Elephas maximus indicus: one gene and its partner. The protein of the gene in region 2 interacts with the protein of the main gene of each other region in a pairwise test. Links are inferred from orthologs where the notes say so. Each region holds a gene or a part of one and is shown on either strand. Other genes may lie near its edges. The genes, in order: KXD1 and TCEA2.

What was found.
Region 1: the proteins of TCEA2 (region 2) and KXD1 interact in binary tests that used the Homo sapiens proteins (3 or more experiments, as listed by UniProt). The two-hybrid records come from large-scale screens. The link is inferred for Elephas maximus indicus from reciprocal best matches to the Homo sapiens genes TCEA2 and KXD1.

Annotation. Positions count from the first base shown.
Region 1 is NC_064821.1:38,487,956-38,503,885, reverse strand, and holds the start of KXD1 (kxDL motif-containing protein 1), read right to left. Parts: upstream 6,942-15,930; 5' UTR 6,897-6,941; coding exon 6,855-6,896; intron 6,829-6,854; exon of another isoform or gene 6,643-6,828; intron 989-6,642; coding exon 867-988; intron 1-866. Other genes in the region: peptidyl-prolyl cis-trans isomerase FKBP8, read left to right, coding at 15,297-15,594.
Region 2 is NC_064843.1:4,072,406-4,088,314, forward strand, and holds TCEA2 (transcription elongation factor A protein 2), read right to left. Parts: upstream 7,629-15,909; 5' UTR 7,444-7,628; coding exon 7,375-7,443; intron 6,850-7,374; exon of another isoform or gene 6,318-6,849; intron 4,756-6,317; coding exon 4,693-4,755; intron 4,560-4,692; coding exon 4,454-4,559; intron 3,602-4,453; coding exon 3,514-3,601; intron 2,656-3,513; coding exon 2,219-2,655; intron 1,820-2,218; coding exon 1,665-1,819; intron 1,600-1,664; coding exon 1,453-1,599; intron 884-1,452; exon of another isoform or gene 874-883; coding exon 802-873; intron 659-801; coding exon 650-658; 3' UTR 299-649; downstream 1-298. Other genes in the region: SOX18 (transcription factor SOX-18), read left to right, coding at 15,694-15,909. UniProt on the Homo sapiens protein: Necessary for efficient RNA polymerase II transcription elongation past template-encoded arresting sites.

The DNA of each region.
Region 1 (15,930 bases), on a different chromosome or scaffold from region 2:
GCCAAGTCCTGTCCTGCTTCAGAACCTTATCCTGCTGAGCTCTACATGCTGTTGAAGTCACCTAGCCAACTCCTATTTGTCCTTTAAAACCCCAACCAAATATGCATTCTCTCCCTGCTCCCTCAAGCACACTCTGCTTCTGTTCCAACTCTCCCACTCCCAAGTTTTTCACTTTGGCCCACCCCGACCCCAAAGGGCCAGGACAGTCTGTGTGGGAGTCTCCTGGGGCTGGGGCCAGGGCCAGGTCTGTATTTGACCTAAAGAACTAGGAAAGAGTGGGGCATTCCTAATCCCAGACACATCTAGTACTCGTTCCAAGCGAGAGAGAGGTCAGAAAATCACATCTGTGCTTTGTCATACACGGAGTGTGCAGAGAACCTTCAGACCCAAGACTGAAGCCCCAAAGACCATGCTTCCACCCTAAAGTTTTGAAGGATGAACAGGAATTTGTCAACCCTCCTCCTCCACAGGGCAGGCCAGAATTAGGGTTAGGCTGAGGTGGCCACAGGGCAGAGCCGCCTCCAGAGACCCAGGCTCTGTGCAGATGCAGACGCCCAGCCCTGTCAGGAAGCCAGCCCACCAGCTCCCTGGGCACCCTGAAATCTCCCAGCAGCCCAGCCTGTGCCCCATTCTCCCACCCAGGCCTCGGGATAGGAACCTCTGCGGCCCACGCCAGGCTGTCCACAGCTGCAAACCCTTCCCCAAGCCCTGCTTCCTGTGCCAAAGACTCGCCCCCAGGCCAGGGAGGAATGTGCTTTGGAGCCAGCAGGGCGATTCGCTCATTTCCTTCATTTTATTGCCCAAGTGAGCTGGGGCAGAGTGGGCAGGGTGGGCAAGCTGGCCAGCAGGCAGCTCCTCCCACTCACATGTTCTTCTGGGCCAGGATGATGGCATTGACATCATCTGCATTCACCATACTCAAGACGCGGCTGCAGAAGACCCCTGAGGCCGAGTCTGGGGCATCCATCTCTTCTTCCTCCTCCACAGCCTGCAACGGGTAAGAAGATAGAGGCCACCATCAGCCCCAGGCATGGTGGAGGCAGGACAAAAGGGCCGGGAGCAGTCACCCACCTGAACCTCTGGGACAGCACTTCAGGAATTTGGAGGCATTGGGAGAGCTGAGGTGTCCCTGGGTGGTGCAAACAGTTAAGCTCACGGCTGCTCACTGAAAAGCTGGAGATTCAGGTCCACCCAGAGGCACCTCAGAAGAAAGGCCTGGCAATCTACTTCCAAAAACTCAGTCATTGAAAACTGTATGGAGCACAGTTCTATTTTGACACACATGGGGTGGCCATGAGTCAATGCTGACTCAACTGCAAGTGGTTTGATTTTTCTTTTTTTTTGGTGGGAGGAGAGCTGAAGGAGGTCAAGTTTGTGAAACGCTTAACACCCATGCCTGGTGCACAGTACAAGTTCAAAGAGAATCCACCAGTCAAGCCCAAACACATCAGAATCCCATGATCCCTCCCACCTCAGCAGGCCTCCTCCCTGGTTTTACTTGCCTTCACTCATTCCCACTTTTACGGGTTACCTTTGCCCCCCCCAAAAGAGGTATGTCCACATTCTAAGGCCTGGTACCTGTGAACGTGACCTTGTTTGGAAATATGGTCTTGTGGATAAAATCAAGTTTAGATGAAATCATTAGCTGTTAGGTGCTGTCAAGTCGGCCCCCGACTCATGGAGATGCCCTGCACAATGGAACAAACCACTGCCCCATCCCTCAGCATCCCATGATCGGCTGCAGATATTGATGTGATCCACAGAGTTTTAATTGCCTGATTTTTGGAAGTCAATCGCCAGGCCTTTCCTCCTAGTCCATCTTAGTCTGGAAGCTCCCCTGAAACCTGTTCAGCATCCGAGCAAAACACGAGCCTCCAAGGACAGACAGGTAGTGGCTATGCATGAGGTGCACCAGCCAAAAATTGAACCATGTGGAAGGTGAGAATTCTACCACTGAACCATCACTGCCCCATTGAGGTCATTAGAAAGAGCCCTAAATCCAATCTGGTTGTTGTCCTCCTAAGAAGAGAAGTGACACAGACACGGTGAGAAGGCCATGTGACAACGGAGGCAGAGACTGGAGTGATGCAGGTACAAGCCAAGGAACACCAAGGATTGCTAGAACACCAGAAGCTAAAAGGCAGTTCCTTTCCTAGAGGTTTCAATGAGAGCACAGACCCGTGGACACCTTGATTTTGAACTCCTGGCCCAGTTTGTGTTACTTTGTTACAGCAGCCACTGAAGACTCATACACCCACCTTTACTCATTCTGTGAGCCATCCCCAGCGCCCTCCTCACATCATCACTCACCCCCCACGTCTCCTCTCCCCGAGGAGTCTTCAATGACTACTCCCCACCTGGTTACTCCCACCAAGTCATCTTGTTCTAATCTTTCCTTTGGCCCATCTATTCCAGAACTGTCTTAGCTATCAGGTGACCTGCGCGTCTGCCGCCCTCACCACACTGTCAGCTCCACGAGAATAGAGGCACGTTGCTCAGTCTCCAGTCCCCTGCCCAGAACCGGGCTCACAGAGGTTGACAGAACTTGGTTTTTGCGGGCGCAAAGAGAATCTTTCAGATCAGATCTGACGATAGACTTTTATCAGAAAATTAAAGCCAAGAATTTCAGGCACTCGCAGCCAGGCTGTGGGTACACCAGATGGCTCTGCAGCTTCCAGCTTCCCGGGCTCAAAGATGACCATCCTGGCAGGCAACGGCTTCCAGACCAGGTCAGGCAGGACCCCAGCTTCAATACTGTCCCCCCAGTGCAGGAAAAACCTGGAATTCCAGCACAGCTTAGCTCTGGGGCCCACGCAGTTAACGGCTGACAGAAGAATCCATTTGCAATTGGTTACGATCCTGTAAAAATGGTCTAGCAGTAGTCTCTGAACCTGCCTAACTTCACAAGTAGGAATGATGAGAATTACCATCAGAACCGGCCCAAATTTGATCCCTACTGTGTGGAGATTAGACATACCAATACTCTCCAACCTTTTTACCAATTCTGTCACCAGCCATCCCTCCCATGGCACCCTCTATGTCTCTACTGGGTTCGATAATCCATAGCAATGGCCAGAGAGAACTCATATACCACGATTACACTTAAGTGGTTTATTAAGGAAGTAACAGGGTACAACTCAGGATCAGGAAGCACATAGGCAAAGTCTGGAGGGCTCCCCAGAAGTGGAGAGCACATCTCTCCCTTCTTCAGTGCAGGACCGCTCTCTCAGCTCCTCTTGGCCATGCAAGCAAGCAGGCTCTTCTCTCTGCTGTGCACAGCCCCTCTCAGTCCCCTGAAGACAGGCCTCCTCTCAGCCCCCTGAGCATAGGCCTCTCTGCCTTCAGCCTCCCCGCCATCACCAACAACTGCCACAGGGCCCCTTCTAGGCCTGATACCACCAGCTCTGCCCAGGGCTTCAAACAGGTTCTTCCTGATTCAGTCATGGCTGATGAAATGGAACTGGCACAGATCCAAATTTTTAAAACTAAGTGCTCCAGAATGGTAACCAGAATCGGTAAAATTACAGGTCAAACCCTCCTGGACATCTAATCTCCCTCTTAGGAAACAAGGGCTGCATACGTGTTGCATAGCAACCAATCTCTTGCCTGGTAGGATTTTGAGCAGAGATGGAAATAGCTGTGTCCGGCTCAAGATGGCAGCCAGCCACACCACTCTGAATGTATGTCGCTCTCCACATTCCTACCAATAATCCAAACTCATGCATCAGGCTCCTGAAAGGGCTCACTACACCTCTTCTGAGTCTCCCACTCCGGGGCTTCAATTCATAATTTTTCTTGTTCTGCAGCACCAAAATTTTAAAAATTTGGGTCTGTGCCAGTTTCACTTCACCAGCCACTAATGAACTGGTTTGAACCAGTTCAAAGCCCTGGCCCTGGCTCAGGGCCCCTTTCAGGCCTGTCACTTAACACAGCCCTTGACCTGTGTTACAGCTCTTTGAGGAGGTCCCTCACCTCCTTTCTCTCTCTGCTGCTTCTCTCTTCTTGCCTTTTCTCCTTTCCACTTCTTCCTTCTTTCTGTCTGCCAACCTTTGTGGAATTGTCTGCACATATAAGCAAACTCCTGGTCAATTTCAAAGTATGGCCCTCCCACCAGAGCCATGAACTGACCAATCCCCTCCTGGTAGACCACAAACCGTAAACACTTCTTCTCTGTAAATATACTGACCAATCCCTGCAAGGTGCACACTAATTACAGGGCAGGCTACAGCCCAGGGCCAAAACAAAAAGTCAAGTTGTTTATAAGTCAAGTTTGGGAAATGTCCATCAACCTGGACAAAATTAACAAACCCTCTGGGGAAGAAAACTAGGGCAAAGGTAACTCCTCGAGCCTTAGGAAAAAGCTCTCAAGCTATTTTTCCAAGAACCAAGGCAAAAGGCCACACAAAAGAACTCATTTCACCAGAAGTCTACAGGTGAGGCAGTGATGTTTCAGTGGTAGAATAGAACCTTCGCCTTCCATGTGAGAGACCTGGGTTTGATTCCCAGCCAATTCACCTCATGAGCAGCTACCACCTGTCTGCCAGTGGTGGGTTGCATGTTGCTATGATGCTGAACGTATTTCAGTGTAGCTGCCAGACTTAAGATAAAGTCCCTGGATGGTGCAAATGGTTTGCACTTGACTACTAACCTAATGGTTGGCGTTTCACTACTACCCAGTAGCACCATAGAAGAAAACCCTGGCAATCTGCTTCTATAAAGATTACAGCCAAGAAAACCCTATGAAGCAGTTCTACTCTGTCACTTGGGGCTACGATTAGTCAGAATCAACTTGACAGCAACGGGCTTGCCTTTTTTTTTTTTAGGTTACCTGACTAAGACAGACTAGGAAGAAAGGCCTGGCAATTGACATCCAAAAATCAGCCAGTGAAAACCCTATGGATCACAAGGGTCTTACTGTAACTGATCATTGAGATGGTGCAGGACTGGGCGGCATTTTGTTGTGTTGTGCATGAAGTCACCATGAGTTGGAGCCAACTCAACAACAGCTAACAAGATCCACACACAGGATCATGAAGGGCCTTCAGAGCCTACTTAACCCACACTCCCATTTCCTGAACAGCTGCTGTATACCAAGCACAGCACCAAGCTCACACACTGGAAACTGCTATCATCCTTATTTACAGATGAGAAAACTGAGGTTCAGAGAGACTGAGTCACAAACTCAAATGCCCAAGGTCTGCAGGTTCCACAAAGGGGTGAATCTGAGCAAGTGCTCAGTATCTGTCCATGGAGGAGCAGTTGCTTCTTACAGCAGCTGATTTCTCACAGACTTCTGATTTTTTTTTCCAAGTAGAAACAGAAATCGAGATTTTTTTTTTCACGTGAAATTGCCTCATTTACAAATGCTAGCAACCAGTTTGGTTTTTTCCCCCAAAATATGCTGGAGGCCAAAGAGTAGCTACTGGTATCCTGAACCTGGCTACCAATTTGCATCCCTGTACACTTTCCAGGAAGGTCCCTGGGAGGTGCAAAAGGTTCGTGTTCGACTACGAACTCAAAGGTTGGCAGTTAGAACCTACCCAGCAGTGCCATGGAAGAAAGGCCTGGTAATCTGCTGCCCTAAAGATGACAACCATTGAAAAACCTATGAAGCTCAGTTTTACTCTGTAACATATACAGGGTTACCAAGAGTCTGAATCAACTCCATAGCAACAGGTTTGGTTTTTCCTTTTTCTTTTTGGTTTTATGCCTTCCAGGAGCAACTGCCGCAGCTGTCAAAGCCCTCCCCTCTTCCAATAATTGCTGTTTTTTGAGCTCCTACTGCACCAGGCGTGAACACCTGTGGTCTCAGTATTTCCAAGGAAGCATGGTGACCCATGGTATGAAGACGGCATTTGGGCTTAAAGAGCAGGGTAACATGGTAGGAGGCCCACAGCTAGCACTTGGCAGACACAGGTGCTGCAGGAAATGGTCCACTTCAAAGCAGGACTTTTGCCTGTCTCTGGCTCCCACGTGTGAGGCCTGAGGAGTTCATGCCCCTCTCCAGCTGCCTGTCTTAGGAAGTCCTCTCTGACTAGCGGAGCAGAAAAAAACCCAGCAGGGGATCTCTCTCCTCCCTTCCCTGCTCTAAACATATTATGGATGGGAGAAACCGGCATTGGAAAGTTTGTGTGACCTTGGGCAAGTCACCTCACCTCTCTGTTTTCTCACCCAGAAAACGAGAATAATGATGAGTGAGGGTGTCACATCGCTGTCTGATCGCTGTCTGTGAAGACTGGGGACAATGGAGATTAGAGAGGGGTCAGAGGATGCTGATTCTCCAGCGGGGTTTTGGAGACGTCCTGGGGCGGGGCCCACAAGCTGGTATTTTAACGAGTGCTCCCCCGCCAAGTGCCAAGAATACGAGCAAACATTTGTACGGCGTTGCATATAATTCTCGATCACTTCTATGAGGCAGGGAATATTGTGCCTAAGGGAAACCTCGGTATCTTGCCCAAGGTCACATGTCAAGGCGCCGCGACTCCACCCAAGTCTTGGAGCAAAAGCGCCCGGACTTCGCGACCCGATCTCAGGACAACCCTCGAGTCGGACGAGGTTCGCACATCCCTCGCCCCCCACTACAAAGCAGGAAAACTTGGGCGAAAGCCCGGCAACTCCTGGCTTCAGGTGACAAAGCACAACCTGAACAGAAACGGCCCCAGCTTCCGCTCCTCGGATCGGGATCCGTCCTGCGGCGTCACTCGCGCACCCACTGCGCAGACAAGGAAACTGAGGCCTGTGCACGCAGGAGGGGGGTCCTGATGTGGCCAGCGGCGCGCCCCACCCCGCGGCAGCCCGAGGGCCGCGCCCGACCAGACCCAGCTTCCTCGACGCCCCGGAGCCCCCGTCCCCACCCCAGCCTCGGTCCAGCGGCGGCTGTGGCGGCACCTGCACATCTGGCGGTCTTGCTCTCGCTTCCGGGATGGCGTCCGCGCCGCCGCGACGACACCACGCACCGTGCGTGCGAGCGCGCAAGGCAGTGACGTGAACTTGGACTCCGTGCGTGCGTGCGTGCGTGTGAGGAGGTGCAACCGGAAGGGCGGGGCTTAGACGCAGCCACCCCCTTTCACCGGTGCGTCCGAATAAATAGCCAATCAAATAATCCTATTTGTGCCTGCGCTGCGCTCCGAGGAAGCCCGGAAGTGGGGAAACGTGAGAGACACTTCCTCCATTTTATGGATTGGTAGGCTGAATCTCTATCAGGGCTTCGAATGGGTTCAGTCATGGCAGACGAACTCTGAGTAGATATGTATGTTTACAATTTCGAAATCCTGTAATGAGAGACTTGGAAGAGGCATAGTGAGCCGTTTTAGGTGCCTCATGCTTAAGACTGAATTATCGGCAGAATTGTGGAGAGCGACAGGAGCTCTGGTGGCGAAGTGGTTAAAGCGACCAACTGCTAACCATAAGGTTGGTGGTTCGTAACCATCAGTGGCACCTGGGGAGAAAGATGTGGCAGTCTGCTTCAGTAGAGATTTACAGCCTTGGAAATCCTACGGGGTCACTATGAGTCAGAATCAATTCAAAGGCAGTGTGTTTGGTGGAGAGTGACACATTCAAAACAGCATGGTTGGCTGCCATCTTTGAGCTGGGCAGTGCTGTTTCTGGCTATGCTCAAAATCCCAGCGTCAAGAGATTCGGTTGCTACGCAACGTGTATGCTGCTCCTGCTTTTTAAGAGGGAGATTAAGTTTCCAGCAGGGCTTCAACCTGTAATTTTTACCATTCTGGGTATCATTCTGGTTCACCCAAATTCTAAAAATTTGGATCTGGTTCAGTTTCTCTTCATCAGCCATGACTTAACCTGGAAGAACCGTTTGGAAGCCCTGGTTCTGAAAAGCAGCAAGTACTGCCTTGAGGCCATACAATGTTCCAGTGGCCTTAGATACACCCAGACCCTGGTACCCTGCTTTCCAGACTAAGAATTAGCGTCACCTGGGTTCCAAAATCCCTGCTCCACCTTTGGAGACCTTTTGCAAGTGCAGGAACCCAGTCAAGAGCTTTCTTGGGATTTAGTTGTTGTGTCTTTTTAATCTCCTCCAGCCCATGCAGTTCTTCAGTCTCTCCTCATCTTTTGTGATATTAATACTTGTGAAGAGTACTGCTCAGTTTTGTAGAATGTCCCTCAACATCAGTTTGTCCCGTGTTTCCTCGTGATTAGATTGATGGTACATCTTTGGCAGAAATCCCACACAAGTGATGCTGTGTCCTTCTCAAGATTTTTTAGATTGCTATTTAAGGCATTGTCTCTCCATTTCTTTACTGTGAAGTTATTATGTTTTTCTTTACAAATAATAGGTATCTTATGGAAAGATACTTAGAGACCATGCAAATACCCTGTTTGTCGTATTTTCACCTGCAAATTTTAGCACCTCTCCATGGTCCTTGTGGCCACAATTATTAGTGGGGTATTTGCCTAATTGCGATCTTTCTAGTTATTGATTTGGTAATTCATTAGAATTCTACTGTTCATTCTCCACGTATTTATTGATGCAATTATTTATATCACTATAAACTCACTGTTATTTTATTCCATGGATAATAAAAAAGTTTTTTTAAATGGATAATAGCACATAATTATTCAGTGCTGTTTCTGCATCCTTTTGACACAAACCCATCATTCTCTGAGCATTTCCTTGCTTTCTGGCGCCACAAGATGTTCTAGGTTCTGGCACAATCCTTGAACCAGCCATTTGTCCTCGAGCCTGGTTCCATTTCTGTACGAATGGTATTTAGAAACCAAGTTCTGGATGCTGGATGTGCTCATTGCTACTGGGATGTCACTGTTTCTAGGCCCTCTCTGCAGTGAGAGGTAGGAGATAATAGCTGTATGTTGTTGTTAGCTGCTGTGGAGTTGGCTTTGACTCATAGCAATCCCATGTACAATAGAATGAAACATTACCTGGTCCTGTGCCATCTTCATGATTGCTGGTATGCTCAAGTCCATTGTTGTATCTGCTACATATCTTGAGTGTCCTCCAACCTAGAAGGCTTGTGTTTCAGCACTACAATGAACAATATTCAGTTGTGATTTATAAGGTTTTCATTGGCTAATTTTCAGAAGTAGATTGCCGGGTCTCTCTTACTAGCCTGTTAGTCAGGAAGCACCACCGAAACCTGAGAGATAAAAGGTGGTACAGGCCCCACCCCAGGGAAACGCCCTTTACCTTGGATCTGGGGTGGTGATTTGGGTAAGGGTGGTGTTACAATCCCACCCTAATCTTCTTTAACATAAAATTACAATCACAAAATGGAAGATAACCACAGAATACTGGGAATCATGGCCTAACCAAGTCAATACACACATTTTTGGGGGGACATAATTCAATTCATGACACCAGGTTAGATGCGTGAACCAAATGGGGCAAATAGTAATTGTTCAAGAAATGTTAATAACTCATTATTAGTTATTGAGATCCTCTGGTGTGCATATGTTATACATTATGCATGTAATCACTGTATCAGTTTTTTAACTGTAAGTTGTAGTGATCATGGTATCTACCTCTAAAGGGTGTCGAGAGCTTGGGAGATACGTATATAAGTCCTCAGGTACATGGAAGACTGTAAAATCCCTGAAATGGGACAGAGTTCTCATTCCAATTCTGTCACATTCAAGCTGGATGGGTTTGGGCTAGTGGCTTAACCTCCCTGTCATGGTTTAAACTGTGTTCCCCCAAAATATGTGGCACTTTGGTTAGGCCTTGATTCTCAGTGTTGTGTGGTTGTTCTCCATTTTGTGATTGTAATTTTATGTTAAGGATTAGAGTGGGATTGTAACACCCCTGCTAAGGTCACATGCCTGATCCAATGTAAAGGGAGTTTCCCTGGGGTGTGGCCTACACCACCTTTTATCTTACAAGAGATAAAAGGAAAGGAAAGCAAGCAGAGAGTTGGGAACCTCATCCCACCAAGAAAGCAGTGCCAGGAGCAGAGCACATCCTTTGGACCGAGGTTCCTTTGCAGAGAAGCTCCTAGACCAAGGAAAGATTGATGACACGCACCTTCCTCCAGAGTCCACAGAGAAAGCCTTCCCATGGAGCAGACGCCCTGAATTTGGACTTGTAGCTTACTAGCCTACTACTTGGCTTTGGTAAAGCCATCCACTTGTGGTATTTCTGTTATAGTAGCAGTAGATGACTAAGACAGTCCCCAAAGCTCGACGTCCTCGTTCATAAAGTGGGGATAATCATTGTACTAGCCTTGGAGGGAGGACTGTTATGCAATCATGCAGGTGAAGTACTCACCATAAGGGTTGGCATGCCATAAATCCTCAAAAATGGTTTGTTGTTGTGTGTGCCGTCAAGTCGATTTTGACTTATAGTGACCCTATAGTACAGAGTAGAACTGCCCCATAGGGTTTCCTAGGGTGAAATTTTTATGGAAGCAGAGCACCAGGTTTTTCTCCTGTGAGGTGGCTGGTGGGTTCAAACTGTTGACCTTTATGGTTAACAGTCAAGCATGTTAACCACTGTGCCACTAAGGCTCCTTTCAGTAAATGGTAGGTAATATTATTACTCCCACACTCCACTGCATCGTTTGTTGAAAAGTCAATGAGGACCAGTATTTTTATAGATTTAGTTCAACAAACCGTTTTGAAATTTGTTGATTAAGCCCTCCCATTGCTTCCTCTGGGTTTGGGCCATATGTTGGGGATCCAGAGAGCACTCTATTCCTGCCTAGCCCTAGAGGAGGAAGGGAGACAGAGGTAGACACAGACACCCCCAGCCCTGTGGGGATCACTACTGCGCTGGGAGTGAGCAGGACTCAAGGCTGGAGGAGCCTGAAGAGTGTGACGTGAAGACTCATTTGGCAGTCAAGGAAGGTTGCAAGGAGGTAGAAACATTTGGATGGGGTTTTGAAGTAGGATTAGGAGTTTTCTAGGAGACAACCAGTCATTCCAGGCAGAGGGAACTGCAGGAGCAAAGGCAGGATGATGGGAAAACACGTTGTGTGAATTTGATCTTTGTAAGAACTGGGGGGTTGAATGAGTCCAGCAAAACCAGTGCTGAGAGGGGGGAGTCAGAGCTGAACCATGGCTCTGTCTGCAGGCTGCAGGAAAAGAGGCCCAGGCTGGAGAAAGGAAGTTTCTCAATGGGTCCTTTGGGCTCTGCTGGAGGCCGGGAAATATTTATGAAGGTCTTGGGAGGGGTGGGGGCTGCACAGCAAGGCTAAAAGGGGCTTGGCCATCCCCAAATGTTTTGTGCACAGTGGAGTGGGGATAAGAACATATTTTCCTCTGTGTGTTGAAGGGACAGCGTGAGAAGTCATGGGAACGTTCAACCTGCTGACAGCTGCCCAGTGATGCGGACATTGCTGGGGGGGAATGTGAAAGGAGGGGAAGACCTGAGTTGGTTTAAGTGGAAGATGAACTTTCTCTCCAAGACCCTCACTAGAATCTCTGTGCCCCAAAGCAGTCAATCTTTTAGAAGCTTTGTCCCTCAGGAATGGAACCTCATCCCAGCCACCATATATGACTTATTCTGGTTCAGGAGAAAGCAGGAGGTCCAGGTATGGGGAGTAGAATCCCTTCTCTGCTTCTTTTCCTAGTTTATTTCTTCCATAGAATTTGTCACACCTGCAATTCAACTCTTATCTGCATCATCATCATGCAATACCTGGCTCCCTGGCTGCAATGGAAGTTCAATGCGCGAAGGGATCTGGCTCATCATTCTCTCCTGGATGTGACCTTGAACAAAGTAATTAACCTCTCTGTGGCTCAGTTTCTCTATCTATAAAATGAGAATAATAAGAGTCTTATCAAGGACAGTTAATAGTGAAGAACATGACTAATGTCACGAAACTGTACATGTGAAGATTGTAGAAATGGCAAACGTTGTGTTACCTATATATTCACCACAATAAAAAAAAGTAATCTCACCAAACGTATCCAAAATGAATCCAAAGGAAGGCAAGGAAGAAGAGAAAAAAGGGGCATAGAGCAAAAAGATATAACAAGAAGGCAGATTTAAGCCCAAAGAGGTCCATGATTACATTAAATGTAAGTAGACCAAATGTCCCAGTTAAAGGACAAAGATTGGCAGACTGGATCCAAAAGCAAAACCCAACTGCATGCTGCTCACAAAACACAAGTATACAATTTAAGGATATGGAAAAGTAGAAGCTAGAAGGGTTGCAAAGGATGGAACATTTAAAATACAAACCAAAAGAAAACAAGTATGCAATGTTAACAGCCAAAGTCCACTCTGAGGCAGGAAGAACTGAGATAAAGAGATTCACGTCATAAAAATAATAAAAGGTTCGATTCACCAGGAAGATGACATGGTCTATTTGCTTATTGGTCAACATGGGGATTCAGTACTTGGAAGGTGTGCAGCAGTGCCTGCAAATGTGAGTCTGCCATTACTATCATGATTACTTTTTTGGTGTTGGTGTTATTTTGTTATATTTTCGTTTATTGTTTATTATTGTTGTCCATGATTTCTCCAATGCCTAGAACACTGGGGTTCAGAGATAGGAAATTGTCCAAGTCCCTTAGAAGTGGGACTGGCCCTCATTTTATATGATGTCCCTTCCCTAGTTCTTTCTCACATACTCCCAATGTCCCACCAGCCCTCCTGGCTGAACTGCCTGCCTTCTTACTTTCTTTCCTTCCTTCCACAACAATTTTCCTGAGTCCCTCCCACACCCCCTTGCCTGTTGCCAGGCCCTGTGTAGGCCTCAGAGTTAAAACAATGAGAAACAACAGACCATTCCTAGACTTTGGGGTATCCCAGTCTAGTGGGTGAGGCAGAGGTTAATCAAATCATGTCACAAAAATAAATATGAAGTGGAGGTTCATTGTGCCAGAAGAGCAGTGAAACAGGGCACATGACATTGCTTTGGGAAGGTCGCAGAGGGCTTCCTGGAAGAGGTGACACTGGAGCTTGGATCTGAGATGTTAGTTACCTCCAGTAGCTAGTGTCCAATTCATTCATTTATTCAACGAGAATTTCTTGAGTGCCCATACGTGACAGGCATCCTTCTAGACAGTACTGGACACAAATCAGGCAAAAAAATCCCTCCCATGGGATGAACAAGATCATTCCAGACGAGGATAACTGCTGCTAAGGAAATAAAACAGAGCAAGAGTGGAATTAAGTGCCCCCCATCCCTATTCTTTGAAAACAAAATCCAGAAACACATCTAATCGAGGCTGCCACCTTCTTCAGGGCCCTGGGGCACCTTATCACCCTCTTGCAGTGGCTCAGCAGGGTGCGCAGAGGAAGAACTTCCAGCGGCCCTGCAGGGTCATCAACCTGGTAGTTACTGAGCACCTACTGTATGCCCCAGGCAATCTTCTGGGGGTTAGATAGACAAAACCGGGGGCCACAACGGTCCCCCTCAGGCACAGCTGTGACAAAGGTTCCCAGGTGGCCTATCCAGCAGCCTCAGAGCTGCTCTGACACTGCAGCCTCAGCTCTTGTAGGAAACACCAAGTAGCACAATCCTCCCGGCAGATCCTTGGTGAGCTGCATGGATAAGGATGTTTATCCCCATTTCGCAGATAGGCAGGATGACGCTTGGCCGGGAGCAGGGAGTCCCCCCAGGTTGTGCTGCGCCGACCCGCATCTCAGACGCCCTCCCGCGTCCAATCAGCTCCCCGAGTCCACCTCCACCGCCCCACCCCCGCCCCCTGGGGCGCCCGGGAGCCGCGGCCCCTTTAAGAGCGCCCCGCGGACCCAAGCAGGAAGGGGGCGGTGCCTGCGCCTAGATGGACGGGTGTTCGGACCAATGGAGGTGGCGGTCACGGCTGCTGCTGCCAATGGGCATGCTGGGGGGCGGGGCCAGGGCCCGAGCCTAGTTCCCGAGGCGCGGCGGCGGCGGCGGCGGCGGCTGGGGGCGGGGAGGGGGGCGCAGGACCCCAGGAGGGGGTCCCGGAGCTGGAGGCACGTGTCCAGGGGTGCCGGCGGGGTCGCGCCGGACTGGGGCGCTGTCGAGGCCTTGGCCGAGCCGGGCCGGCGCGGCAGGGGCCACGGGCGATGGGCGGGGCGAGGGAGGCGGACCGGGGGCGCGCGGGGGTCGGGTGCCGAGGGAGCTCGGCCGGGCGGGGGCGGAGGGACTGGGGGTACGGGAAGCTGTGGGGGTCTGCCAGCAGAGAAGCGCAGGGCCGGGACTCCCCAGTGGTGCGGGGGTCGGGGCCCCCGACTGGTGGCGTTAGACGGGCAGGGGGCGTTGGGGGTCTTGCTGGGGAGTTGACACGGGCTAGGCCTGGGCGGGTGGTGTGTGGAGGGTGTGGGGGCCTATGGGGCCAGGAGGGGGGCGTCTGGGGACATCGGGTGTTTATGGGGGAGGGAGCGGCTTGGGGGGCCTGGCCCAGGCCGGGGGCGGTAGTTGGAGCGGGGGAGGCCGATTTGTGCCGGCGCAGGGGATTGTGGGGATAGGGTCTCGGAGGGTCTCCGAAAGGGAGCCCAAGCCCAACAGGAGAGGACAGGTGAAGGATGGAGGGGGAAGTGCCGTGAGTTAAGACGACGGCCCCCACCTCCTGAGGTTCGTAGGGTCTTGAGGCTTTGGGTGGTTCGTGATGTCACGTCCAGGGCTGGGGGGCTCCCAACAGGCCTGGGACAAGGAAGGGGCATAAAATGTGGGGGTATCTCCAGCAGTCCTGCAAAGGGGCCTGCTGTTATAGGGGTCAAGAGACCTGGGGAGAGGAAAAGGCCCCCAGGGCAGGTGCAGGGCCAAGGGTCCCTGGTGTGGGAGGGTGCCCTATAAGCTTCAGAGTCTGGAAGGAAAGGGCTTGGGGTTTCTGGAGGGTCACAGGGCTGGAGGTGAGTTTGTGGGCCGGGGGCTCCTCCTTAGGAAAAGGGGCAGCAGCAGGCAGGGAGTTCTGGGAGAGATTGTTCTTCTGTATTGGAGCTCTAAAAATAGCCTCCAAAGGCCTCCTAGTTGACTCTCAAAGAAAATCCCAGAACCCTTTTTTGGGATTTAATCATACAAAATCCCAGGGCTCTGGAGCCCGAGGTTCAAATCCCACCCCTGCTGGCTTGCTCTGTGACCTTGAGCAAATGGCTTTACCTCTCTGGGCTTCAGTTCCCTTTTTTGGGAAATGTGTGTTTGGGGGGGAGGGTGGTCACCCCTCTACTAGGGCATTTACAGTAAGTAATAATTAGTTCTAGTAATGGTGACACTGTTTGAGCTACATGGCCAGAGTTTGTTAAATCCTTGCAACAAGCCAGTGTAGTTGTAATACCCATTGTATAGTTGAAACTGAGGCCTCAAGTTACTTTGCAGAGTGTGAGGTGGAGGGGAAAATGGGCGGGACCGGGTGGGGTTCTTAGCCCGTCCCCTCCCCCCAACAGCATGGCATCCTGTGCCGAGCCCTCTGCCGTGGGCCCTGAGCCCGCCACCCCGCTGCCTGCCAGGGTCCCACCACTGGAGGACTTTGAGGTGCTGGATGGAGTCGAGGACGTGGAGGAGGAGGAGGAGGAAGAAGAGGAGGAGGAGGATGACCTGAGTGAGCTGCCACCACTGGAGGACATGGGGCAGACTCCGCCGGAAGAGCTGGAGCAGCCCGGGGCCCTGGCCCGAGAGTTCCTGGCAGCCATGGAGCCTGAGCCCGCCCCAGCCCCAGCCCCGGACGAGTGGCTGGATATCCTGGGTAAGGAGCAGGTGACCCGGACAGCTGAGGTTCAGAAGTGACCTTGACCCAGACTCGTTGCCCTCTGAGCCTCATTTTCTCGCCTCTGCTGTGAGGGTCAGCGGTAACCACAGTGATTGTGACCTGCTTGTTGTCACGCCCCTAAACCTTCCATGAGGTACTGTGTCCCTGTTCCCTTTGCTGGCCGGGGCCACAGAGTGGCATCCTGGTGTCACCAGCCCCTAGTGCATCTTCTCAGCTACTTCCTGCTAAGGGCATTCCCCAAAAAATGCATCCTGAGGTCAGGCTGATGTGAGGAATGTCCCATTTTTTCAAGCTTTCTGGCAGATGCTCACA
Region 2 (15,909 bases):
GAACAAGCTGCCGAAAGGCCCCACAGGAGGGCATAGCAGAGGGACCCAGGTCAAAGCTTCCAAAACTCAAGGCTAGAGCTGCTGGCAGCATGGGGTGGGTTGGGAGGATGCTGAGGGCAGCTAACCTAGGCCTCACCTCAGTCATCTAAGTGGACAAGTCCCCTGCTCCGCCAGCCCACACACCCAGCTCGGCAGGCCCATCATATACACACACGCACATCCCTGAGTACACCCATCTCCCGTTCCTTCACTTCACCTGAAGACATGTGCACACATACACACAGGCTCATGGGATGCCACACCCACCTCTACGCCCAGGCCCTCAATCCTTCTGGGGCCAGCTGACCTTCCGTGATACCCACTGCCCATAGGGCCCCATGTCAGCTGGCCCCAGACTGGGAGGGCTGTCCACAGCAGCAGAGACAGACTAGACATGGAGAATGGGGGCAGCCCACCCAAACTGAGGGCCAAGGACATCAGGATGGCAAAAAGAAACGTTTAATAATTTGGGACAAAGGGGAGAAGTGCACGCCAGGCAGGATAGGGCGAGGGTAGGTTGTTTGGGGATGGCGGGGGCAGCACTGGGTCTCCAGGGAAGCCGAGTCGACAGGTGGGGAGGGCAGCAGAGGCTGCAGGCTCATGCATAGCTTCAGCAGAACTGTGAGGAGTCGGGCATGAGGCCATGGCTGAGGTCTCGGCCCAGCCCATGCTCTTGCCCATACCTGATGCTGGGGTGAGAGGCACAGTCACCCAGCTCAGACTCCCCAGGACCTGCCCACCCAAAGCCAGAGCTCAACCTACCTTCCAGCGGTTTCCACACTCGTTGCAGACAACGAAGGTGGTCATGGGCTCATCAGAGCTTCGGGTTTGCACCTGTGTGGGACTGTGGTGAGAAGGGCCCAGGCCGTGGGGCTGTTTCTCAGGGAGACCCGACCGGCCAGGGCCGCAGGAAGACCATCTCGTGGGGTAGGAAACACCAACCGCTGAGGCGGGCACCCCAGGATTGAGGGGGCTGTGCCTGGCTCTTGTCCTGTGTCATCTGGAAGCTTGCATGGCTTACAGACCAATGGGACCAGCAGGGCGGGTGGGCCCAGGTGCCACAGGGGAATGGGGTGGCTTGGTTCCCATGGCCTCCCAAAAACTCCATCTGCCAACCCCCATCCCCTCACCTGGACACCTTCTGGAGTCCCTACACCTCCTGACATCCATACCGCCCCCTCAGAGCACCTTGGCATCCACTCACCACACCCCACTCTTCAGGGCACCCCTGTTGGGCTGGACAGGGTCCCCAACCTGAGTGCCAGGTAGTGGACCCCACCACCAAGAATGCTGCTGACTGGGGCCAGGCCTCAGGAGAAGCTGGCTTGCAGGCAGGGGACACACCCGGTGTCAGTGAAGCTCTTTTCTACACCTGCCTCAGGTGAAGAGACTAGTATATGGGAGGAGGCCCACCTGGGTGTAGGTGCAGCTCTTCCTCTTGCACCTGCCACAGGTGAAGAGGTCAGTGTGGGTGCCACTTGCTCGGGCCATCTGGTGCTCACGGATGGCCTCTCTGGTCATGGCCTTACGGATCTCCTTCAGCTCATCGCTGGCCATCTCCTGGAGGGACGCCAGTCAGGGACAGGCCCTCAAAGCAGCCCCCTGCCCCAGGCCCAGTAGCTCACCTCCGAGGTCATCTCGGCAATGCGCTGGGGCGCAATGGTGCCACACAGCACGCTCCGTCGTAGCCCCGGGTTCTTGGCATCCTTCAGGTTGGAGATGCGGCTCCGAACGCGGTTCTTGTACTTGACGTCTGTGCTCCCCACGTCCCGGAAGATGCGTGCAGCTGCTAAGGACCCGTGGGCCTCCCAAGAGGGGCTGCACTGGGCTGGGGTTCTCCATGGGCATCCCCTCCCCACAGGGAACTCCAACTGGGTTGGGGTCCTCCATGGACACCCCTTCCCCATAAGGGGCTGGGCTAGGATGAGGAGCCACCGTGCTCTACCTGGCAGTTAGGACAAGCCCTTTGGAGCAGAGTCACCCACCCTGGCCTGGCAGCAGGCAGGGGACTCCACTGGACCATTCCGCACTGAGACCCTGACGCGCCCAGGAAGGAGGTGGCCGCCCTGCCTAGGGCACAGGGCGGCCGGCGGTGCCTACCAGCGGCCACCAGGGGGAGCCAGCCCCAGCAGGCCCCAGTCCTCACAGGTGCCAGGCGGCATGCCTGCAGGAAGGATATATTCCTCTATTTGGGCCGACAAATGCTCACAGTCTGCGCCGATGGCCACGTGGTCATCTGCAAGAGGCAGCCCTGACCAACCACGCCCACTGGCCCTCCACCCACCCAACACCCCGGGGCAGCAGGAAGGGACACACCACTGTGTCCCAAAGACCCCACCTGCCCCAAGTGGGCAGCACTGGGCTGGGGAAGGGGCAGGGCTGTCCTTCACGGACCCTTTGGAGCTTGTGTCCAGAGCCAGAGCAAGGATCAGGGACTGGGCGGACCTGGGTGTGGCTGGTGGGAACTCACGGTCTGTCTGCAGGGCAGCAGCCAACATCTCTCGGCACTTGTTGCGCACAGCATCACAGGTGATGGGTACTGGGGGAAATGTGGTCATCCGAGGGGTCGATGGTGTCCTGGGCAGCTCCGGCCTCTTGCGGCTGGAGAGGGACGGCCTATGGGGCTCAGACACGGGCCCAAGTGCACCATAACAGTGCAGACAGGACCAGAGGCCAGGGTGCCAGAAGCCATCCACAGCTCCACCCACTGTCAGGGAGACCCTGGACACAGCCACCCCTGGGTACCCTGACAGCAGCCACCACCACGGCAAGATGCCCATCCGCCTTGGTGGAGACAGGCTCGGCTCACCCAAGGCCAGTTCTTGGGTCACCCCTGCCAGGTATAAAACCAGTAAGGATACCTCCTCACAGGGCTAGGCCCCCACGTGGCAGCCCAACAGCCAGGCTACAGCCACCCAGCCCTCCCCCCACAACCCAGTGTCCCACGACCCAGAGGCCCCATGGGATGCCAATGGGAGCAGGAGGACTTCGCAAGGAAAAACAATACACATAGGTGTTCAGAAGGGTGCGATGCTCAGCAGCAGCTAGGTCCAGGCCTCTCCCCACCCCTCTTCTGGCACCTGCCCGGCCCCCTCCACAGACCCCCCCCGACCCAATTCCCTACACAGCCTCTGTCTGGCTTCTCCACCTGGCCCCTCACCACTCAGCACACACACCCGCTCTGCCTGCTCCTGTCTTGCCTCTCCACACCACCCACCCCGTGCCTTGCTGCTGGCTCCAGACTCTTGAGCTGCCCCACACTGGGCAGGGAGCAGCTCGCCGACGCCAAAGTAGACACACCAAGTCCAGAGTCATGGGCAGGACTCAACCCAGCGATGCCAGCCCAAGGAGCATTGGAAGGGGTGCAAAGCCACCCCCTCACAGAGCAGCACCCTCAGGGTAGGAGTGTGAGCACCGCTTCTCTGGGGGGCTAAGCTGGGATAGCACACACCTGTACCTGCCCCTCAAGCGCACCTGTGGGCCTTTCCCTCGGAGGTGTCCTTCGATGGCAGTGAGGCCAGGGACGTGCTCCTCCGCTCCCCAGCTTTGGCGTCTGAAGCATCTGCAGTTGCCAGATAACAGTGGGAAGGGGCTTGGCAAGGCAGCCCAGGAGGGCTGGGCCCGGCCGAGGGAGGCATACAGATGGCCGCCACAGGGTGGGCCCAGCCATACAGCACCCTTGTCCCCAGAAGGTCACACCCACAGCTGGGGAGCTGCCAGGGGCTACTGAGGAGCTATGGGGACTGCAAGGGGCTTTGGGGCTGCTGGCCTTCCTGCTAAAACGCCCTCTCCCCCGCCTCCCCCACCTCTGTATTCCATACCACCCCTGCAATGCCCCTTCTGCAGATGCCCCCCATGCTGCCTCCTGGGGCCAGCCCACTGCCCAGAGTGATCCCAAGGTGTGGGGATCCAGCAGTTGCAGCAGCAGTGGGTCCAAGGAGGCCAGCCCTCAGTATGACCAGTGTGCCTGAGCTGGACCAGGAAGACGTGTGTGAGCAACTCCTAACCAAGGCCCCTCTTGAACCCACAGCCGTGGCCCTGGGCCTGTGCCAGGGCTGGGACCCCTTTCCCCCCACACCAGCAGAATACACGCTTGCCCCACAGAAAACCCAACGGCCACACACACAGGCCCAGAGGGGCCTCTCAGGTCCAGAGGGGGACTCCCTGTCCTGGGTGGGGGGCATCTCTGCAACCCCCAGTCATCCCACTGTTCCCAGGAAGTGGTGTCTGGCCAGCCTAGTGATCCCTGCCCAGGCTGCCCTCCCTCCATCCCCTCCCTGCAAGGTGGTGTCCACACTCCAGCCAGCCACCTCCTTCATCCTCCTCTGAGTGGCCTCCTGACTTGGCCAGTCCCTCAAGTGCTCATCTTCCTGCCCCCCCCCACCTGCCCAAGCCCCCCAGGGCCTGACCGCACCCAGGAGCTTCTTCCAGGACTTAATGAGCGACTTGGCCAGTGCGATGACCTCTTCATCCGAGCTCTGCTTCCGAAGCGCATTGACCGACATCCCGATGCGGGTGGACTGGGGGAGGTGGGGCAGAGGTGTCAGCATGGGAACCCCCACGGGAGTGGACACCCCCTCTGTTCTCAGTGCCCCCCCCGCCCACCATGTACACACACCGCCCCCCACCCCCGTCCTGGACCTAGTGACTGACCTGCAGCAGGTGCAGTGTGACCGGCATGGCCTTCAGCTCCCGAAGCAGGTCCATCGCTCCTTCCTGGGGTAAGAGGGACCTCAGCTCAACAACCTCGGTGTAAGGTCTGTGGGACCTCACCCCTCCTCCTGCATGCCAGAGACTGACAATCTGGAGGTGCTACCAGGCCTCCACCTGGGGCTGCAGCACTGTAGCCCGGGTCCTGTGACTTCCCAACCTCCCCAAGACCACATCACCCAGAGCTGCAGCCAGTGGGCCAGCCCCAAACCCTGTGCAGGTCCCAGATCTTTGCCTACCACCTGTCCCCATTCCCTGGAAACAGGCAGCCTCACCCAAAGTGTACGGAAAGCAGGTGCACCCCCTACTCAAACAGCACCATGGCCACACTCAGTGGCACCCAGCCCCTCTCCACGGCGACATCAGCCAGTCCCAGGCCCGCCTTCTCATCACCAGCGGTCCTCACCTCCTCATGTCACCCCAGGATCAGACCCTGCCCCTCCCTCATGCCTAGACCACACAACTGCCCCCAGTGGTCTCCCCCTTGACCTTATCCCTGACCAAACCCTGGGCACAGCGCCCCCCACTGTCCCCCAAGTGCCCCAGGCAGCCTCAGGGCCCTTGCACAGCTGCTCCACTGCCAGCCCTCTGCCGCCTTTCCCTCCAAAGGTCCACTCACACAGCACCTCCTCAGTGAGGCCTTTCCTACTGAAAACTGCACCCACATCCATGTGACCCCCACCCTCCTCTACAGACAGAGCTCTACTGCACCAGTGAATCTCCACGTGTGTCTCCCTGCAAGATAAGGGATGAATGACCCATCACCCAAGGTGTGAGAGCTAACAACATCCTGCAGCCCAGGTGCCCTGCACAGGGCCAGGCCTGGCACACCCCCCCCCAAAGAAGGTGGTGTCTCTGCTTAGGCTGCAGCCCCCTCCTCATCCCATCAGGCAGGCCTCACCCCTTGGTCTGTACACTGGGACCTCTCAGAAGGGACAGATGGCTCTGCCTGCTGCCTTGGGCACAATCTCCCTCTTTCTTTTCATCCCCACCCCAGGGTTTCTATTGTGCCTCCACCTGGACACACAGCCTCCCCAGCTCTGCCAGGCCCCAGCCTGCCCTCCCACCACAACACCCCCACCCCCAAGTGAGCGCCTTTATTCCACCTTTGGTCATCTCTGCAAAGGCCTAGGAGACTGGCCCATACCCTTACTATGCCTGCCCACAGCTTCCTGGGGTGTGAACACCATAGAGCCTGAATGCTTGCTGAATGAATGAATGAATGAGAAGCAGCCTCTTCCTAAATGGGGGGCCACAGACCCCAGTCCAGAGTCACAGTCACCAGAGACCCAAAAAACCACCCCAAACCCCATGGCCATTGTGAGGCTTGGGATGGCCACCCAGCCCCTGAGCCGACTCCCAGCCAGTGGTCTTGCCCCACAGGGCATCCACTCTAGAGGGGAGAGAGCAGGTCTCTTGAAGGTTTATTGAGCCCTGGCTGCCTACTAGCAGCCCTGGTGGTACAGTGGTTAAGTGCTCAGTTGCTAACTGAAAAGCCCGCAGTTCAAACCCACCAGCTGCTTTGTGGGAGAAAAATGTGGCAGTCTACTTCCATAACGATTTACAACCTTAGAAATCCTATGGGGCAGTTCTACTCTGTCCTACAGGGTCGCTGAGCTGGAATCCACTGGCCGGTTGCCTGCTGCCCCCAGCTGGCAGGCCCCGCACAGCCTCCTGACAGGGCAGATCTCCACCAAGGACTCTTTGAAGGTTGCCAAGGTCACAAAGCTGGGGGGGGGGGCTGGCCTCTCCTAGAGACCACGGCACACAGCCTCCCAGGGCACACAGTGGCTGCTGGACAGGAAGACAGAGGGCCAAGCCACTCGGCATCTGGGGCTCGGCCAGCAAGTTTCCACCTCCCAGCTCTTACAGAATCCTATGGGGTTTCCTAAGGGGCTCTATACATCCATCCACCCCAGTCGCTGCGGGCTGAGTCCTGGCTAAGGACGGGAGAATTTACTGGAGTAACTGGACTTTGTGGAGTGGGGCAGTGGGGACAAAAAGGGCAGCCGGAAACGCTTCTGTTGTTTGTGAAGAGGACGGAGGGGCAGCACTGGGGCACGGGGCTGCACTGGGGGAAGGGGCGGGGAGGGGGTGGAGATGCCAAATTCTGCGTCCTGAGAAAGGTGGGGGGAGGGCTGGGGTAGGCAGAGGGCACAGGGCCGGGGGCTGGCGCTCCGGAAAGGTGGCTGGAAAGGAGGAAGGCGGGGGGCGCGGCGGTCGGCTAACAAGGGGGGCGGGGGGTGTTCTTCGAGAGGCCCGGGCGAGGGCAGCCGAGGAAGGTCTCCTGCAGCCGGGCCCCGGGTCTGAAGCCGCGGGCGGAACCCGGTCTGCGGGGGGCGGGGAGGGAGGGGCTCAGCCCCGCGGAGGGTCTCAGTCCAGGGCGGTGGTTCTGAGGCCGGGTCCGCCCGGACAGCGGCCTCTGCCGGGGCGCGGGGACGAGTAAACGGCCGGCCCGGGCAGGGGTCTCGGCCCTGGGCGAGGGTCTTCCCGTGTCCCAGGAGTCTGTGCCGGGGCGGGGGCTCGTCCTGCCTGCCCTCCAAGGGTCTCCCGGCCCGGGACCGGGGCTTGGCCGGGGTTCGGCGGGACGGGGGTCCCGGGGCCCTGGCGGCCCGCGACCCTCACCACGCTCTTCTTGGTCACCATCTTGTCCAGCCTCCGGGCGATCCGCGCAATCTCCTCCTCTTTGCCCATCACCGCCCCGGGGCGCGCCCCAGCGCCCGCCGCGCCAGCCCGCCGCCGGCTTCGGAGACAACCCCCGCCGCCCCGGCAACCCGCCGCAGTCCGCCGCAGTCCGCCGCAGCCACCGCTGCCGAGACCCTCGGCTCAAACCCCGACTCCCGCGGCCCCCGCGTTGCACCCTGGGTTGCGTAGTCTCTGCGCGCGCTCGTCCCGCGCGTGAGCGCCCCTCCTGGACCACAACTCCCAGCTGGCCCTGCGCGTGCGCGCGGCCTGCTGGGAAATGTAGTCCCAATGCCGGCCGCCGCCAGGAACCTGTGAGGCCAGGCAACTCGCAGTCCAACAGCCCCCGCGATGAGGGCCGCGGGTAGGGACCGCCGGCAGGGGGCGCCGCAGAGCGTCAGGCCCCTCTCGCCTGGGTCGGGCTGCAGCAGGGTCTCTGCTCGAAGTATCCCCAACTTCTCCGCGCTCGCCACGAGGCCTCGCGTCGGCGCCGGAGGGGCGTGAGCAGCAGTAGCAATATGGGGTCTGGAAGGGGCCTGGGCTGGGGTGGGAAGGCGCCGGAGGCGGGGGCACCGCTGGGGCTGGCAACCCCAGCGCTGCCCCTCGAGACGCCCCAAGCAAGGCAGTGGGTGCTCTGTGCCTCAGTCTCCCCGTCTGTAAATGGGGTGACCGCATCACCTCACAGGGCTGCTGTCAGGTGGATGCGAGTTGATTCACGTCACCACTGAGAACCGGGCCTGAATGCGGCACAAGCAATCCCAGTCATTGTTAAGTTGCTGCTGGAGGGCAGATCCCCTGAAGGACCAGCCTGCACTCACAGGAGGGACTGGCTAGGCCGGGGAAGGACAGCGCCCCACCCATTCCACCTCCTGAGCGATGCCCATGCTGGGTGGTTTGTTGGAGGGGGTGTGGTTCAGAGGGAGGGTTCAGGCCAAGGGCACTGGACCCTGAGGCCACGTGGAGGTGTGAGGCCCAAACAGCCTTGGCTGACATTAACGAGATATGAATAAGCTTCACAGCAGCCAAAGCGAAAAGGAAAACAGACCATAGCTCTAAGCCCAGCCCAGCCCAGTAGGTCCTTGTGGCCCAATGTGGCCTGAATGCCATGGTCTGAGCATGTGTGCGACCTCAGAGGCACCGGGGGAGGCTGGAGCCACATCCTTCAACAACCTTCTCAATGGCCTGTGACTGGCCAGACCAGAGAGCTGGCCAGAGGACCTCAGACCAGCTCCCGGGCTGCCCTCGTGCAGGAACCACGAGGGCGCTCCTGTAGCCTTGGGGACACAGGGGACACAGGTGGGGCCGAGCTGACTCGAGGTCATGGATGGAGCTGGTGTCCCAGCTGGAGGTCCTGAGACTCCCCAGCCCCTGCAGGAGGGACTGCGGAGACGGTATGGGGGGAATGTGGAGCAGCAGCCTCTAGATGGCAGTGGTGAGCCAACCATGCCAGTCCACACACGGTGGGGCCTCTAAGGGGCTGTGGTAGGCTCCAGCAGGAGGGGCAACAGAGCCCAGTCTCCCGTCCCTCCCAGAGCACATCCTGCCCCAGGCCCCTCCTCACTGGAGCTCCCCAGACTACTCACAGTACTGGCCCTTCTGACCCCAGCCCTCCACTCCTGGTGTGTCCACACCTCTGGTCTCTGCTCGTACCCTTCACCTCCAGACCTCCCAGGCAAACTCCTGCTCAATCTTCAAAACCCAGTTAACATGTTCCACATCTCTGACATGTGTTGCCCCCCAGAGTCTGGGGAGATCCAGGGAGCCAAGCCTTTTGGAGCTTTAGTTCAGACAGTTAGTCACCCTTAAACAAACAAAGCAGGGCCGGCCACTCTGACCAATGGGGACAGACTTTCTGGAGGGTGAGGCAGCAACAGCCCAGCTTCACCAGCTTCACCACCTTCTGGGTTGGCCCCTCTCCAGGTTTCCCCCTGCTGATGTAATGAAGCCCCTGCAGGGCTGGCAGGGAGGGGGTGGAGGCTAGGCCACAGCGTTGGCCCATGCAGGGCTGGGTGTGGGTGGGAGGAGAAGGCAGGGGCTGAGGCATAAATGGGCAGAGAGGTGCGGCCAAAGGAAAAGGGTGCCAGGCGGGGGACTGCTATGCGTCCATCTGTGCATGAGCATCAGCCTCTGCCTCTCCCAGCCTCAGAGCTCCCTCCTCCAGGGAGCCCTCCTGCTTTATCTCCCACAGGCAGCTCCAGTGAGGTTCACGGAGACTCAAAGAACAGCTCTCAGGAAACCTCGTCTGGGGACTACGGCACTGTCAGGGGAGCCCAGGAGGCAGACACACCTGAGTGGGGGTCGAGGCTGCAGACAGCTGCACTTTGGCCCAAAGAACTGCTCCTTCCCACCAGTCCTGCAGCCCCTCCCATCTCAGCCACGTGAGACATCGGAAGCCCAGGCCATTATTTTTCTATTTGTGTCCCCCACCCCCTCCCGCCCAGGCCGCCCAGGCCGGCCATGACCCCAGCAGACAGGCATTGAGCTTCCCTTCTGGCTGGGCGGGGCGGTGGTGGGAAGGCTGGGGCCGCTGAGCTCACACGGACCCCCCACTTCCCATGGCCATGGGGGGCACTGCCCTAGGCTAGTCACAGCCTCACAGCCCGGAGCCCACACCCACCCCTTGCCACCCCCTCCTGAGCACCCCAATCCACCAGACCTTCCCTACTGTGGGGTTTCTGAGGGGCCATGATACCAGCCAATCCCACCTAGGCCTCCCTTCGGTCCCCCTGCCCAGGTGCTCCTGGCTGTGTCCATCACTGACAGCCTGCTCTGTGGGCCTCAGTCTTCCAGTCGGTGGAATGGGAAGGGCTGCCCACCCAAGGTAGTGTCTCTCGGAAAGTCCCAGCCCACAGCCTTGGCCCAGGCCCCGCTCCCTCCCCAAGAGGCAGCGTGGGGTGGGGGTGCAGGGCATCCCCCAGAGGCCAGCACGGCTGCCTGCTTCAGGCACTGCTTTAACAATGCGCTTCCCCCCACACAATTCCCAGAAACACCGCCCTCCAGCCTGCCAGCCCGCCAGCCTGGCGGCCACTCCACCCTCCCCAGAGGCCCTGGGCAGCAGCGGGGGTGGGGAGGCTCAGGCTGTGGGAGAAGTATGTGGGTTCGACCCACAGGCGGGCAGCAGGCCCAGGCTCACTGGGCACACTGGGCTCCAGCCTCAGTGTGAGAGGCCTTGGAAAACTGAGTGAAATGATACCCCTTCTCTGCTCAAACCCTCCCAAGGCCCCACATCTCCTTTGGGGGAAAAGAAAGACCTCCCTGGTCCCCGCACACTGGCCCCCTCAGCCTAAAACATGCCTCCCCACGAATCTGTAGGTCTCCCTCCTCCACGTGCTTCCTTCAGGCGTCAGCTCATCGAAGGGCAGGCAGTGAACACCAGGACACCCCGTTCCCTTCACCAGCATCACTGTTCTCCATAACATGTCTCCACCTGGCACCCCATACTCTTTCTGTCTTGTGGATTTGCTGATTGTCTCTGCCCATGGTCAGGGTCTGTTCACTGCCAAATCCTCAGCCCCCAGGACCGCCTGCTACAGATTGGGGGCTGAGGGAGGAGTGAATGAATGAATGAACGAATGAGCCAACCCTGCCCATGAGCAAGAGGGGTGGGGTTACCCAGGTTGGATGATCCCTGAGAACAGAGTCCTGCCCCTCCGAGACAGCTTGGTTGCCAAACCAGGACAAGCAGCTAAGAAACACATGGCTTCAGGCCTCCCACCCTGCAGGGCTGGGGGGAGGTGGAACGGGGTGCTGGGGGTGCTCTACTCCCACTCCCACCCTGGCTCCCTCTCTCCCTGATTCCCAGAGGAGCTGGCAGCCACCCCAGGGATGATTCAGGGCCCCTGGACAGCAAGTGTCACGGAGAGTTCAGGTGGGGAGGGAAAGGCCAGTCCAGCAGGGGCACACAGAGCCAAATAGGGGCTGGACATGCACTGCAGGACCCAGGGCACTCGGCCATAGGCTGGGGCACCAAGTGGTGTGGCTCGGAGGGGGTAGCGGTATGGCCAGAGATACACTGGACAGGAGCGGGCTGGACAGGAGGGGACTGGCCAGGCCACCGGACAGAGTCTGGCGCCTGCTCAGCCCAGGCTCCCTCAGCCGGCCTTCCTTCCTGAGCTGGTGTTTCCTGGCCCCGCCCTGCCATTGCCATGGGAACCAAGAGGGGCAGTCCCCTTGCCTGGTTCCCATGGAGCCCCCACTGAGCAGCCAGGAGGCCCACACAGCATGCGGACACCCTGAGGACACACCGCAGCCACACAACACACCCCTAAGGGTTGCACAATAGCCCCCAAGCTCACAGGCACCTCAGCACCCTGCAGATATGCAAGAACCCCTGAGGCACCCCAACTTCATCCTACAGCCCATACCCCACAGTGCAACACAGTCTGCCTAACAGTCCCTAAGCAATGCCCCAGTCCTGTGGGCATCTGCAGCACCCACAAAGACAGAGCAGCCCCTCCACTGCGTGTGACCTGACCCAGCAGCACAGAGTGGGCAAGCCTTCTGTCCCCACCACCCCACACCTGCTCAGCCTACCTCTCCACAGCGCCCAGGGGAGACAGGGTCCTGGCCACCGCATATATCCAGCCTGAGGCCTCTTTAGACTTGCAACGGCCCCCCACTTACACCCCAAGACACCAGCCAAGCAGCCACCTCTTGCACCAACCCCGACACCCAATCCCACACCAACGCCTAACTGTGGCAAATCACGCACAGGAACACGGACCCCGACCCCACGCTAGAGAGCTCCAGCTGGGGGAGCGTGAGCACTCACACGCACTCATCCCCATGCCTGCTCATGCATGCGTTCACGCAGGCACACTCATCTGCTTACACACGCTCATGCCCACAACTGTCCACACGCTCACACCTGCTCACACGCGGCCACTCACACACACACATCCAGATCCACACACACTTGCTCACGCCCACACACGCCCACCCTGCACACACTCACACCCATCCATGCCCATGCCCACTCACGCCTGGTCACACCTGTTCACACCCGTGACCTCTCACGCTCACACCCACTCACTACAGCCCTCGCCCTCCTGCACACTCATGCCCACTCGGGAAAGCACGGAGTGCCCCCAGCCCCTTCTCAGAAGTGGGGCTGGCATTCCTGGAAGGCCAGGCCCAGCACCCTGGGACTGAGACAGGAGAGCAGGGGCGGGTGAACCCACTAGGTCAGTGACTGACCTAGTCATTGGCCACAGGCAAGTGCCCAACTGGCTCTGAGGCACAGGGCGGCCTCCCCGACGACCCCATCCTGCCTGGACCACATGGCTTTCACTCTCTGAGTATCCTAGGTGACAGAGGCTGCCCTCCCATCGCCAACCCCAAGGACACAACACCACTCAGAGGCAGGGTGGCTCCAAAGCCAGGGTCTCAGAAGACCAGAAGGGCCCTGTCACCTGAAGCCTTGGCCAACAGAGGACCCCCCACTTTGGGAGCAGAGGTTCTGGGCCCCCAGGACTCAGTAATTGGTCCCAGCCTTGCTTCTTCTGCAGTTGCCAGGGGCTGGATGGTGCAAGCCTGTGAGGTCTGCGCCCCTGGCAGCGCCTGGGAGGTCCCGCCACCCCCAGCCCGGAACAGAGCCAAGCCCCTACCCAGAGCCACCAAGAGGGGACAGCCAAGCATCATCTGTGAGCCTCCCCCAGAGACTGGAAGTCCGGTTCAAGCTGAGGGAGGAGAGTGGGCAGAGGCCAGAGGATGGTATCCACTGAACACCCCACGCACGCACTCCACCTTTCTCTGTGGGGGCTGGGGGCTGTAGACTGGCTCTTTCACAAAGATAAGTGGCAGCCTACCAGGGCCAGACCAGCCTGAGGGTCATAGGAATGACCCTAAACTCATGAATCACCCCCCTTTGGATGAGCTGGAGCCACCACTCCTGGTCAGAGAAGCCTCAGGGACCCCTCCCTTGGTAGGCAGTGAGGCTGGGGTCTCACTAAGCAGGATCCACAGGCCAGGCCCTGGTCTCCTCGAGACAGAGTTCAGCTTCTGCCTGGCCCCTAAGGCCTGGAGCAGCCTCAGCACCTGGGTTCACTTCAACAGACACACACACACACACACCACACACACACACACACACACACACACACAGAGCAGATCCTCCCCAGCACAGCCAGCCCAGAGCTGGGCCACACCCACACCTGCCTTGTGCAGCTCTGAAGAGCCTCCAGCCCCATGTGAATGGCCCTCTTGCAGGATCAGGGTCAGAGTTGACCTTGCAGTAGCCCCTACCCTGCGGCACTCCCATCTAGTCAGTGGCCAGGGCTCCCCCACCCCGCAATCCCCACGGAGCAGCATCATGGGAGGGCTCTCCAGTGGCCATGCCCGGCCCCCCACCCCAGCCAGCTCACAGGACATGACAGCCGGACACCTGAGTCTACAGCCTGGCCCAGGGGAGGGTCACTGTCTGGCGCCAGACAAGCAGCCTGGGGGCCGGGGGGGGGGGGTTGTGGTGAGGTAATGCCAGACACTGCCTCTGGAGCAGCTTTGACAACTCTGGGCTCTCAGGGCTGCAGGGTGGCCAGGCAGAGCACTCAAGGGAACTGCAAATCTGTCCCAACGTGGGAGAGGGCTGCAAAGGGGACCCTGGAGGCTCCTTTCCAGGCCTAGTGATCATCACCCTAGGCTAAGCCAGACCGTGGAGACCCAGAGGGTACACACAAGGCGACAGGTAGAGGTAGCCACAGGTGCTGGGAAGACCATGGCAGCTCGCCCTTGGGACTCATCCCCCAACTGGAGTCTTCCTCACATACCTCCCCCCACCCCTGACCCAGAGCCAGACCAGACCAGTGAGCCCCCTGGTCCCCCACCTCACCTGCAGGCCCTGCACCTCCCAGAAAATGCCATTCTTCACCCTAAGCCTCTGTGCACCCGTGCCCTGCCCCCCCCCCCCCCCCCCCGCCCCGGCACTAGAGCCTAGGAGCCAAATCTGAACAACTGGGGAAATCTGTAAACCACTTTTGGAAATCCCATCCTTTACTCCTCAGGCTGATGGGTGGCTGTTACTGAGACCAAGTGTGGTGAAACATGACCTAGGAACAGGCTGGATATGTCACAGCCCTCAGGTTGGGGACCCTGAAGGCCACCAAGGGACAGTGGCCATTGCTACAGCACCTGCACAAGACCCCTGTTTGCCAGCGCTGACAAAACCCACTCTGCAACGAGAGGGTGTTAAGGAGGGCAGAGAGGCCAGAGCCACAAGGCCACTCACCCGACAAAACCTGATGGACTGTTGGGGGGTGCAGGGAGACCCCTGGCCTCTGAGGCCAGAATCCCCCCATGGGGTGGGACCAGGACAGTGAGGAGCAGGGAGGCAGGATATTCCTCTGGAAACCATTTAGTTCACCAGCACCTACGGGGCAGCCAGGTGTCCCCCACTCCCATAAAGCCTTGTTCTCTCTGGCTGCAGCCATTGCTTGCCCCCCTCTCCCCCTTTCTGAACAGGCCCTGGGGGAAGGGTGAGGCCCAGGCTCTAGATGCCCTCCCAGGTCCCCGTCCAGGGCATCTGCCGTCTCCCTCCCCTGTCCCGGCATCCAGACCAGCATCAGCTGGCGTGGGGAGGGAGCAGAGGACTGCCTGCTCCTTTAGCCCCACGATGGACTTAGGGGGGAGGAGGGGTCTAAAGTCCAGTGGTTAAAGTTCCACCTGTGCGTGGAGGGTTGAGAACCTGAACCAACGTCCCAGGTGGCCCAGAGGGCGCCCGTCCTAGAGCCTGGAGCCTTTCCGACGGTGCTTCTTACGTTTGAAGTTAGACTCTAGGGAGGACTTACGGGCGGGTGGCAGGATGTCCTGGAGAACTTGGTGTTGAAATAAGACGTCCCCTCCTCCTGGAGTTACCTGGGGGAGGGGGTCGCGGGAGCGAGCCAGCCATGGCCATCCTCCCCCAACTACCACCCGGGGCGACTCTGTGGGTGGGGCGGTTACAGCTCAGCTTGAAGGCCCTACAGCCCCCCAAGAGGAACCCCCCTCTGAGCCCCAGCAGCTTCTGCAGCTCTTTCCCATTCGAGGGTCTCCCGCTCCGAGAGCGCGGGGGAGGGGGCGCCGCGGGAGGGAGGCCGCACGGAATCCGGCTAAGAAGAAAGGAGCCCCCGGGGAGGGGGCGGCCCGGCCCGCGCCCCGCCCGCCCGCCGCCCATTGGCCCCGCGCCGCTATATCTGGGCGCCAGCCCGGCGCGAGGCCACCACCAGTCCCACGGCCGCCGCCCGTCCGCCGCGCTCCGCGCTCGTCCCGCCCAGGCTGCGCCCAGCTGGAATGCAGAGATCGCCGCCCGGCTACGGCGCACAGGACGAACCGCCCGCCCGCCGCGACTGTGCATGGGCCCCGGGCCCTGGGGCGGTCGCTGAGCCGCGCGGCCTCCCCGCCCCCGCCGCCGCTGCCCCCGCTGCGCCTGCCGCGCCGTCCAGCCCGCCGCGCAGTCCCGAGACGGGGCGCTATGGCCCCAGCCCGGCCGGCCGCGGGGAGCGCCAG